Linked DNA regions of Caenorhabditis elegans. The protein of the gene in region 1 interacts with the protein of each later gene in a pairwise test. Each region holds a gene or a part of one and is shown on either strand. Other genes may lie near its edges.

The links.
Region 2: the proteins of hpo-34 (region 1) and unc-101 interact in a two-hybrid assay, tested with the Caenorhabditis elegans proteins (3 studies listed by BioGRID).

The regions. Positions count from the first base shown.
Region 1 is NC_003284.9:11,516,043-11,520,891, forward strand, and holds the start of hpo-34 (ZM domain-containing protein), read right to left. Parts: upstream 3,025-4,849; 5' UTR 2,976-3,024; coding exon 2,948-2,975; intron 2,904-2,947; coding exon 2,803-2,903; intron 2,746-2,802; coding exon 2,692-2,745; intron 2,480-2,691; coding exon 2,399-2,479; intron 2,348-2,398; coding exon 2,282-2,347; intron 2,239-2,281; coding exon 2,138-2,238; intron 2,081-2,137; coding exon 1,963-2,080; intron 1,917-1,962; coding exon 1,812-1,916; intron 1,765-1,811; coding exon 1,663-1,764; intron 1,617-1,662; coding exon 1,509-1,616; intron 1,463-1,508; coding exon 1-1,462.
Region 2 is NC_003279.8:12,506,620-12,513,930, forward strand, and holds unc-101 (AP-1 complex subunit mu-1-I), read left to right. Parts: upstream 1-1,679; 5' UTR 1,680-1,935; coding exon 1,936-1,977; intron 1,978-2,031; coding exon 2,032-2,188; intron 2,189-2,869; coding exon 2,870-3,068; intron 3,069-3,667; coding exon 3,668-3,939; intron 3,940-4,163; coding exon 4,164-4,293; intron 4,294-5,327; coding exon 5,328-5,697; intron 5,698-6,183; coding exon 6,184-6,282; 3' UTR 6,283-6,801; downstream 6,802-7,311. Other genes in the region: asah-1 (Acid ceramidase subunit beta), read left to right, coding at 1-114, 278-471, 683-892; mter-4 (Mitochondrial transcription termination factor family protein), read left to right, coding at 6,900-7,034, 7,211-7,298. UniProt on the Caenorhabditis elegans protein: Component of the adaptor complexes which link clathrin to receptors in coated vesicles. Clathrin-associated protein complexes are believed to interact with the cytoplasmic tails of membrane proteins, leading to their selection and concentration.

The DNA of each region.
Region 1 (4,849 bases):
GATGATCCTCCGTTGTTTTTCTGACAAGTGGAACATAGTGATGTTCAGGATGAACTACTTTTAAATCCAACGATTGAGAGCGTTTCTCAAGAGGAACATAATGATGTTCCCTGATTATTTTTCTCTGATCTTTCACATTCGCTGGTGAATCTGGGAGATAATGGTGCGCTCTTTCAACACTACGACTCTTTCTTTCAGCTTCCAAACTGTTTGGAATAAAGCTGTGATGGTGGAAACTTTCTCGCTTGTTGTTAAACAGCGATGGTGGCGTAGATGGGACAAAATGGTGAGCCCTGTTGATTTCTTTAAAATAGTCAATCGTTTGAACTTGCGGACTTTGTGCAATCGCACTTCCATCAGCTTTTCTAATTTGTCTTTCCACGTAATGATGACGAGGGTTGATGTGTCGATACTCTGTTATCACCTTGATTTGGGGAACATAATGGTGGCGCTGATCGTCAGTATAGAAAGCTGGCGAATGGGAGAAATGTTCAACAGTTGGCGTGTCATATACATGGTAATCGACTAGTGGCAGCGGTGGTGCTTGCTTGTGGTAGGAGGAGGAGGCGTGGTAAGAGGATGAGGATTTTTTAGTGTTTTCAGATTTATCAACTATCTCATAAGAATCGAAAGGAACGTCATAATGATTCTCTATTGCTTTAGAAGAAGAAGAAGAGATGAAGTTATCGCCGACCTGGAATTGCGTTTGCTCAACGACGACGTCTTGGTGTTTGTGGTGATGGTGTTGATCAAGATGCTTGTGGTGCTCATGCTTCTTCATTTCAAAGACAGGCGACAATGGTGGTGGAGCACCATGCTCAAACTTTCTGCGAAGGGAGCTAACACCTATAATATCAACAGATGAAGAATTATCCGCTCGGATATGAATACCTTCAGATCCTGAGCGGACATCTTCCAGAACAACAGTAGTAGACTTGACGATATCCTTTTGCTGATGAATCTCCGTTTCGTACGCGTTATAGATATGACTCTCTTCGTGGGTACGTGGTGGCTTAACTGGGATTGGAGCCACGTAGGCCATCACTGGGGGCCTAACCTCAACCTCTTCCTCCTCCAGCACCGCAGCCGGACGCAACTCCTCAGTAATTTTAGGCCCAACATTATGTGCTAACATTTGGCGACTTTGGTAAGTGGAGGCAGTGTTAGAACGGGACTGTTTCACATTGGAGGTGAAGGTATGGGTAACATGGGATTCATGGTGGTGGTGGTGGTGGTCATGATCATGATGGGTTATGGAGTGTTGATCCTCTCCGAAATCGACCGATAACACATTATGGTTCTCATGGACGATTTGATAAGGCTCGTAATGCTGTTCAATAACATGTTCATGAACAACTTGCGGAACTTGTTCCTCCAACTTGTGGTGATGGTCCTCATGAGTGTCCACATATTCCACCTTCTCAAAACCAAACGAATCCTCGCTATGAGCATCAAAAGCGCCCTGAACAAAGCTGTATTAATAAAAAACACAAACTCTTGACACTTACGACAACTGATGGTGGTTGGTAGTAAGCTGGAGCAGCAAAGTCCACAAATTCAACTTCGTGACTTCTGTGCAAAACATTGACACCATTGTGAGAATCGACAACTCCTCCCTGAAAGCAATTCACAGTTTAACTGATATGTCATTTAAAAACGTACAACAGCAATCGAGTGAGTCAACTTTGATGGAGCAATAGAGTCCTCGCTGTCACTTTGAATGTGAACTGAGGCAGGAACAATGCTGGAAACCACTGATTGATCCTGAAAAAGAAATTATAGGTGTTTTAAGTTTGAAAATGTTTATTTACTCTTCCATGAAGATTTTTAAATTGCTCAATCACTGCGTCATGCTCGAATGATTGTCCGACAGCAAGTGGGGTTGGAGCTTCAGATGCAACATGTGCTCCGACCACCTGAAAAATCATGAATAAATTGTTTTTTAATCTTTGTAAAACTGACGATCGGCTCATTCACAAGAGTTCCCTCGGAAATAGTCGACTCGCTGTCATGAGTCAAAGCGGAATGATGGGAATGTTGGGAGTGATGCGAATGATGCGAAGCGACGGAATGGTGGGACCTGTAGGTGTGTGAAAATTATTTATTATTTCTTCAGTAGAGTGAGCTTAAGATATACCCTGATCTGGAAGAAGCAACTGATGGTGCCTTTCCAACAACAGCTTCCCCAACAACAATCGGAGGCATGTCGTACTGTGGGATAGGTGGAAGATCGTAGTGCTGAAAAAGGCGTTTATAGTTTTCATTGTTCGAACTGAAATACCTGAGCGGATTTTTGAGAAACGCTAGAATGAACAGAAACTGATGTGGCTTTTGACATTGCGGACACCTAAATAAATGCTCTTTTTCAAAATAATGAAAGATTAATTTTAATATATACCTCCGACCGCTGATCTTCAGTATCCACAGTTGGACGACGTTGAATAACGGCATCATGACCAACAACGTTTCCTACGATAACCTGAAAAAATATTTTTTGTTCATTTTCCAACAAAATTGTTCTTAAATCAATCGATACTGTCATTCTTTTTCGAACACGGAAATCAAAGAGCACCAACTGATTTTCAGTTTTGATGAGCAAAAAATTGATAAGTTATCAAATCAGAAGTAAAAAAAATCAGATTATAATTGAAGTTAAAGTAATCTTTACAATGTAAATAAAAATTTGCTTACCCCAGAAGAGGAGAATTCCATATGCTCGTGGTGAGATTCAACATGATGACTCTCCTGAAATTCAATAAAATAACTAATATCAACAAAATAACTGTTCAAAAATTTTCTTACTTGGTGAAAAACAGTGTGAGATTCTTGATGATGCTCCATGATGGTAGTTGTTTGTCCAACAGCAGGAAGCGTGACAGCAGAAAAGACTTGGTCCATCAAACCTTTTTAAAACTGGAATTGGGAAATGTGTTAATGTCATACTTACTATCACTGGCATTCCTAGTCTCCATCATTTTTTCTTCGGTTCTTTTTTCCAATCCACGAACAATAGGTAACCTAAAATAGCTGAGAATTAAATTTGAAAAGGTTGTTAGATCATTATTATTATTATTATTGTTGCGAAAAAAAGTAAAACGCGAAGATTGGTTTCAAAAAGCAGTCGGGCTCTTAACTCTGCTACAAACGGCAAACACGGCGCCGATGATAACTGCCATTTGATGTAAGATGATAAACCACGACGACAAGGGGAAAGTGAGGGTAGAGAACAATTTCGAAACGACCGGTATGATAGTATGTGACACGCAGCACACTTTTTGGAGCACGTTTAATTTTGATAAACGCAGAGAAATTTATAAATGATTCTTTGCCGGACACATTACATGATAGCATAATAATTTTTTGTGACTTATTGGGGGACTTCCATTTAGACACGCTTAGAACATGAGAACATATTTTAATGTCAGAAAAGGAAACATAAGTTCAAAATTAAACTAAAATTATGGGAGAGAAATGGGTCTATATTCCAACTGAATTCCATGCTGTTTGAAGCAAGCGTTTTATAGTTTTTTAACCTGTCAGTGTTCCAGTTGGGAGGTAACAAGCATTGCACTTGCAGTGGAAATTATAGCAGATGATATTTGCTAAAGTGACAAAGAGAAAAAGAATGTCGATGTTTTTAATGTTTACAGTCTGCCAGTACCCGAAAATATTTGCTCTGAAAGGACGTTAAGTCATCTGAACGAATACAGTTTTTTTCATACATCTGAATTTATTTCAAGACACAAGAAAACATCTTATTAAATGCTCAATTACAAATATGATGAAATCCTACATTTTAGTTAAACGCACATTCTAATTTTGATAAACACTATATTTCCCGAGAAAACGACAATGACAAATTAAAGATAAAAATTTAATTTTAAATCAAAAACTTATCCAAAATGTTTCTGTTAGTGTGATATGTTTTATTTGACTGGAAACTGAAGCTTGACTAACAAAATTGTCATGTTGAGACAAGTAAAAGTTTTCTATACATTTAAAATTATATAATTATTTAGATATCATTTGTAATTTGTATAACACATTATTACATTGCAAAACTAGTAAGTAAGAATTTTTAAGAGTTGCAAAAAATAATCAGACACAAAATGATACATTTTTAAAGTTACAATTCCAAACAGTGAAAAACGCAGAAACGGACTATGACTTTGTGATGCCATACCCAAAAAATTCGAGAATTGGATATAATGGATATGTTTGAAAAATAATGTTCAAATCTTCGAATATCCTACCGAATTTGAGTTATAACGAAAATTAATGTTTTGTTGGTCGGCATCGAACTTTTCCTTGCAATCCTGTGAACACTCGGGAAATTAGTTTTTCGTGCCATAATAGAATACGGCTGAAATTGGTTTAATAAAACATTAATGGCAAATTTTTCAACATATCATTTATTTTTTGTTTCAGATACAGTTAAACATATTTACTGATTTTTATTTTCGGGCCATTTTTATTTTTCTACAGTCTGCGTTTCATCTAATAGTTCCATAATCTGTCCATTTCTACAGCAACATGCACAATTTTTGTTCAACTGTGAATAAAAATAGAGGAAACAAATCTTTCGTCAATCTCTATGCTTGGTTGTATAATCTTCGTGCGCTGACAATGTTGCCATGGAAATTTATCTTTCTCCGTCTCTCTTGAAAAAATAATGTTTTAAGCCAAAAGTGTTTTTAAATAATTAATTAAAATCATCTATGAAACCAAAAACAGGTCTTTCAACTCTTAAGATGGTCGTCTTTATCAAAAAAGTGTCTGGAAATGGCAATGTGTATTTGGTATTTGTAAGTAAAACGCCAACCGTAGGAAAAGGGTTTAAATCATTTCC
Region 2 (7,311 bases), on another chromosome or scaffold:
ATCGATTCCAGCTTGTCGGAGGATACTACGGTATTCTCAAGTGGGTGTTCGGATTGGAGGCCGACGGAAAATGGATGTCCTGGTTGGCAAGAGAGACCCTCGAGACTAAGACCAGTGAGTTGAATTGTTTTCTTGATGACTTAGATCCTTAGAATTCGGAAGCTTTGATTTCCAGGAAGCTTAGGCTTAGATTCAAGTGTCCCTAATCTTTGCTTCTAATATCCATTGGGCTAGATCCGTCTGAGATCCATAAAGGCTCTATATCCCGAGCTTTCAGCCTACCTCGACGCCAAGGAGCACTTGATGAACACTCCAATGCTCTCACCAGTCTACTTCATTCTCGGAGGATCCAAGAAGGACGAGGGATGCATCATCGCTAGAAGTCTCGACAAGACCGCACTTCTCACCGAGATGGCCACATCCCCACACGGATGGTACCTGTTGGAGACCAACTACGATCAGGGAACCGAGGTGAGAGATGCTAGAGTTGAAGGTGTAGAGTAGGTTCTGGTAGACGGATCTAGGGGCCCAACTTTTAGGAGAGGTCCTTCTCTAGGCCTAGGTCTAGTATTTTGAACCCAGCTTCTTTTTTTGAGTGGGTCGAACTCCTAGCTAGAAATTTTGATCAAAAATCTGTCAAAACCTATCCGGAATTAACTTATCCAACATTTCCCTCTTCCAGGACCTCTACCTTGACGACCGTGACACTCCGGGATTCCGTTGCATGGACAAGTTGACCCAGAAGAACGTCGGATTCGAGGGAATCTTCAACGTCTTGTCATCCCGCACCAACCTGAATAAGCTCACCACCTACACCGTCCTCATGTCCGTCGAGACTTCTCGCTTCGAGACCATCCTTCAATCCTGCCCGGGAGAATGCTATCCATGGTAGATTGGATTCAACATTCTCATATACGCAATGATTCATTGAAATAAACTTTCATTTTTGTAAATAAACTTTGATGGGTTCTTGTTTGAAAACGAAATTTTCATAAAATTTAAAAATTTTAGAGTTTTTTGGTTTTTTTTAAACAAAAATTAAAAATTTTAATTTTCCCGCTGGAAAAAAATAATGAGTTACGGTAGATTTAAAGGCGCATGCACCGAAACTTATCGAGGTTACCAAAGTTATTGCTTTTTGTGGAATTTTACATTTAAAAAATAATTGTTTGCTAATTTTATGGTTTTTCGTCGTTTTTTCGTTTCTAACCAAGTTTTCCTCCTGAAATTCAAATTTCGTCACAATTTTATTAAAAATGGGATACGGTAGATTTAAAGGCGCATGCCTAAATATTTCTTCTGAGTCTCGTAGCGATTGGTGGTTTTGTGGAATTTTCTACTAGAAAAATGAATTTAAACTGATTTTCCAGTATTTTTACACAAATTTTTTTTATTTCAATTCAATTTTCAAATTATTCAATTCAATTTTCTGGCGGAAATTGCCAGTTTTTGTCATTATTGTCCAATAAAATAAGGTACGGTAGTTTTAAAGGCGCACACCTAAATTTTGCTCCCTTGGTTTCAGTTTTGAATTTTTAAAATAGAATTTTAACCGATTTTCGTCGATTTTCACTTAATTTTTTGCACTTTTCCGACGAAAAAGTCGATTTTTTGCAAAATTCGGTATTTTTCTCCATTTTTTCGCGAAAAAACCGCTATAAACCAAATTCTCCACCTTTTCCATCCAATTAATCCGTCTCCAAGGCCTCCTGCACCGCTGCTGCCGCTCCGTCACTCGCCGAGAGAGTATATAAAGTGAAGAGACTGCAGACTGCAAGAGGGCGTGCCCGCCAGCAGCCGATATCCATCTTTGCACTCATTTTCTTCGATTTTCCTCCGTTTTCCGCTAATTTTCTCCGGATTTTCAGTATTTTCCAGTAGCTGCCACGTGGAATTTGACGATTTTAACGAGAAAATCGCAAAAAATCGTCGAAAATGGCGACTTCCGCCATGTTTATACTGGATTTGAAGGGAAAAGTGAGTTTTTTAGTGTTTTTCACGTCGGAAAATGCCAATTTTCGCATTTTTCAGACGATAATTTCTCGAAATTATCGCGGAGACATCGACATGACGGCAATCGATAAATTCATTCATTTACTCATGGAAAAAGAGGAAGAAGGCTCGGCAGCGCCCGTTTTGACCTATCAGGACACGAATTTCGTGTTTATCAAGCACACAAATATTTATTGTGGGTTTTTTGTGTGAAAAATTGAATTTAAAATCAAAAATTAGATAGAAAAATGGCAAAATTGAAGAAAATCCGTTGAAAATGACGCAATTGGTCAGAAATTTGAATTTTCAAGCCAAAAACCGATAAAAAGTGCAATTTTTTGTGGTTTTTAACATTTTCAAATTGAAAATAACGTTTTAAAACTAAAAAATGAGTTGAAAAACAGTGAAAAGTAACAAAATCCCTTGAAAATAACGGAAAACCCAAAAAAATTCAATTTTTTGATTTTAAAGTCAGAAAAATTCAAAAATTCCTTGATTTTCTGAATTCCCGAGTGCTAAAATTCAAAAAAAGCCGAATATTCGTAAAAATTGACTAAAATCAATAAAACTGCGATTTTCGTAATTTTTCCATTTTGTAGTTTATTTGAAATGTGGTAAAAATCTTAAAAAAGGAGCAAAATTGTTTCAAAAATCAAGCTTTTCTGCCAGAAAGTCGATAAATTGCGAAAAATTCGTCATTTTTCACACTTTTTCGACATATTTTCACGATTTTTGAGCCAGAATTGTAAATTTCCGGAAATTTTCCCGCCGACAGCGGGTGCAAGCGCGCTCCAATGATAAAACACCCATTTTTAACGGATTTTCAGTCATTTTCTCCAGAATTTCCAGTCAAAAATTCAAATTTCCCTCATTTCAGTGGTCTCAGCATGCCGTTCAAACGTCAACGTCACAATGATTTTGTCATTTTTGTACAAATGCGTCGAAGTTTTCTCCGAATATTTCAAAGATGTCGAAGAGGAGTCGGTTCGCGACAATTTTGTCGTTATCTATGAACTTTTGGACGAAATGATGGATTTCGGGTTCCCACAGACGACTGAGAGTCGAATTCTACAAGAGTAAGGAGGAAAAACGAGAAAAATTGAAAAAAATTACTCAAAAATTCGAATTTCCCGCACGAAAAATCGTTTCATTTTCTGCTGCAAATGCGCTCCAATGCGAAAATAGCCAAATATTAGCGTTGGAGCGCATTTGCAGCGCGCGATAGCAGTAATTTTAAATTTTGGGTCAAAATATGTATTTTCGACCCTAAAATTTTGAATTTCCAATCACAAATGCGCTCTAATGCAAAAATCGCAAAAAATTTACATTGGAGCGCATTTGCAGTGGCGGGGAATTCAAAAATTCAAATTTTCCTGTTCAAAATGTGTCTTTTGTCTCGAAAATTTGAATTTCTATTTGCAAACGCGCTCCACTGCGATTATTTGCACTGTAGCGCGGTTGCAGCTGGGAAATTTGAATTTTCATTGAAAATTTCAATTTTCTCGCATTCAACATGCAGCAAACGCGCTTCAATGCAAAAATCGCAAAAGTTCACATTGGAGCGCAATTTTCCTGTTCAAAATGTGTTTTTCGACTCGAAAATTTGAATTTTTGTGCAAAATTATCATCGATTTTTCCTCAATTTTCAATCAAAAAACCCCCCAATTTTTTGCAGATACATCACACAAGAAGGTCAAAAACTAATTTCGGCACCCCGTCCCCCGATGGCAGTGACAAATGCCGTCTCATGGCGCTCTGAAGGCATAAAATACCGAAAAAACGAGGTTTTCCTGGACGTAATCGAAAGTGTGAACATGTTGGCCAGCGCCAACGGTACCGTACTTCAATCGGAAATTGTTGGAAGCGTTAAAATGCGTGTCTATCTTACCGGAATGCCTGAACTTCGGCTGGGTCTTAACGATAAAGTACTTTTTGAGGGCAGTGGACGTGAGTTTTTTCGAATTTTATGCGAAAATTGAGATTTTTCAGGCAATTTTACCCTAAAATCGATAAAATTTTGTTAAAATTCAACAATTTTAAAGTTTTTAGCGTTTTTCAATTGCGCTCCAATGCGACTTTTTTTAAATTTTTGCAATGGAGCGCGTTTGCAACTTGAAATTCAAACTTCCTACCGCTACAATCGCGCCCCATTGATAATTCTCGATTTTCAGGCGGAAAAAGCAAATCTGTGGAACTGGAAGACGTGAAATTTCATCAATGTGTACGCCTGTCGCGTTTTGACACGGATCGAACGATCTCCTTCATACCGCCCGACGGAGCATTTGAGCTTATGAGCTATCGGTACGAAAAAAGTGGAGAAAATCGGATTTTTAACCGAAAAATCGAGTTTTTCGCATGATTTTGACGGAAATTCAGTGATGTGGCCTAGTTTTTTCGAAAAGTTAGGCCACCGACTTCTAATCTGTGGCCGAAGTTTGATTTTGTCTATTTTTTGGCTTAAATACTCGATTTGAAAGCTGAAAATGCCAGAAAATCCTAGGAAATGCCAATTTACCCACGTGGCCTAGGTTTTTTGGAAGTTAGGCCACCATAGCCTAGTTCGTGGCCGAGTTGTAATTTCGAGTTAATTTCTGCTTTTTTATGCCAAAAACGCTCGAAAAACAATTATAAGGTGTAGAAAATACAAATTTGCTTACGTGGCCTAGGGTTTTCCGGAAAAAACTAGGCCACCAAAGGCCGATTCCTGTTTTTGGGTTCTTTTAGGTCAAAAAACTCGTTATTCAGACGAAGAAGAGCTCAGTAACATGAAAAATTCTAGAAAAATACAAATTTGCATACGTGGCCTAGATTTTACAAGAAAGTTAGGCCACCACTGGCCAATTCATGGCCGAACTCTATTTTTTGGCTAAAAACTCGGCTTCTTTACTACAATAGCTCGATTTTTCTGTAAAAACACGTTAAAACTGTAACAAATGGAACACGTAACATGCAAATTTCCACTCGTGGCCTAGTTTCTCGCAAAAGTTAGGCCACCACTGATCAGTTCGTTGCCGAACTCTATTTTTTGCTGAAAACTGTGTGTCTGGATCAAAATTGTTGGTTTTTCTTAAAAAATAAGTCAAATACACCTGCGGCCTAGGTTTTCGGGTAGAAAATTAGGCCACACCTTAATTTTGAGTCTAAAAAGTTGATCACTAGGCCAAATTTAGCTTGAAAACACTGAAAAATAAAAAAAAAGCAAATTTACATGCGTGGCCTAGGTTTTCAGGTAAAAAGTCAGGCCATGCCTCAATTTTGTGTCGAAAAACTCGATTTTTACCTCAAAAAGCTCCAATTTTTCCTGAAAATTCTCGAAAAATACCGTTTTTTTTCAGATTAACAACCGTGGTGAAGCCGCTGATCTGGATCGAGACAAGCATCGAACGTCACAGTCACAGCCGTGTCTCGTTTATAATCAAAGCGAAATCACAATTCAAACGGCGCTCCACTGCTAATAACGTGGAAATCATTATTCCAGTCCCGTCGGACGCTGATTCACCGAAATTCAAGACAAGCATCGGTTCGGTGAAGTATACGCCCGAGCAATCGGCCTTCGTATGGACTATTAAGAATTTTCCCGGCGGAAAAGAGTACCTTTTGACCGCCCATCTATCTCTACCGTCTGTGATGAGTGAAGAGTCTGAAGGACGGCCGCCGATTAAAGTCAAATTTGAAATTCCGTATTTTACGACCAGCGGCATTCAGGTAGCCGAATTTTTCGCTTAAAATTCGACTTTTTAGCTCAAAAATTCAAATTTCCCACCGCCAAAAACTGCCCAATTTTGAGATTTATGTAATTTTTTCGCTCTAAAATGCTGAAAATTTCATTTAAACACATGATATTATTTAAAAATCCGACTTTTCAACTAGATTATTTGAATTTCCCGCCGACCGCATGTTGCAAGCGCGCTCCACGGATAAAACTGCTCAAAATGCAGATTTTTGTGATTTTTTTGCGTCAAGATGATGCAAATTTCTCGAAAAAACCTAACATTTGACTTTTTAACTCAAAAATTCAAATTTCCCGCCTACCACATATTGCAAGTGCGCTCCACGGAGAAAACGGCTCAAAATTGAGAATTATGTGATTTTTTGGTGTTTAAGGGTGATAAAATCTTCTAAAAAAAAGGCTTGAAAATTCAATTTTTCCCATAAATTCCACCAAGTAAACCCTAATTTTCAAATTTTCAGGTCCGTTATCTGAAAATCATCGAGAAAAGTGGATATCAAGCATTGCCGTGGGTCCGCTACATTACTCAAAATGGAGAATACGAGATGCGGATGAAATAATTCCTGAAAAAATTACCTAAATTCATATTTTATTGTATTTTATTCCCAATTTTACTCTTAATTTTTGGAATTTTTTATGAAAAATTGGTGAAAAACGACCGTGGCCGAGTTTTTGGAAAATTTGGAGGTCTAGGCCACCATGCTTCCAGTGGTGGCCTAACTTTTCGAAAATCCTAGGCCACGGCCCCGTTTTCCATCAATTTTTGCCTCTTTTAATGTCAAACATCTCCAATTTTTTCTGTGAAAATTTAATGCTCCGCGAGCTGCTCCCCGGCTCAAAACATGTGTTGTGTGTGCTCTTTCCCCTGATGACCCCGAACTCTATTTTTTTTTGTTCGAAAATTTTTATTTTATTTTTCCCACCGATTTATTTATTGATTTTTATCGCATAATTTAGATTTTTTCCAGAAAAACGAGTTTTTTCCCTTTCCCACCAGCATAATTTTCTCACCACATGGATCCTCATCAATTTTTCCCGTTTTCCTTTTTTCAGTAAATCAATAAATTTTCTGTCATAATTGTTTACAAAATGTTTTCCGGGGGCTAAAAATTCCATTTCAAAAATTGTCTAAATTTCCAGAAAAATCACTGAAAAAAATGCAAAAAATTGCCAGAAAATGCGCCGATTGTTGCCGATTTTTCGTCGAAATTTGCGAATTTCTGCATTTTCGCGTCAATGCACCACATCTGACGACACTTTGCGGACTTTTGCGCCAAATGCGTTGATGGATCGAATTGTGGACGATTTGAAGGTTCGGCAAAGCGGGAATTTGAAAATTTTGAAGATTTAGCATTGGGGCACACTTGCATCACGCTTTTATGGCGCGAAATTTGAATTTTTGCCCTAATTTTGGACTTTTTTTTGCATTGGAGCGCATTTGCATTAGCGGGAAATTCAAATTTCCAACTCTAATTCAATTTTTTCCAGAAAACTGGCACACATTTTGTGATTCCCGGTCGAGATTCCTTTGCCAGACAGGAATCGGCAAAAGTTTTCGAAAAACTTTTGGAAAATGGTAGGTTTTGCTA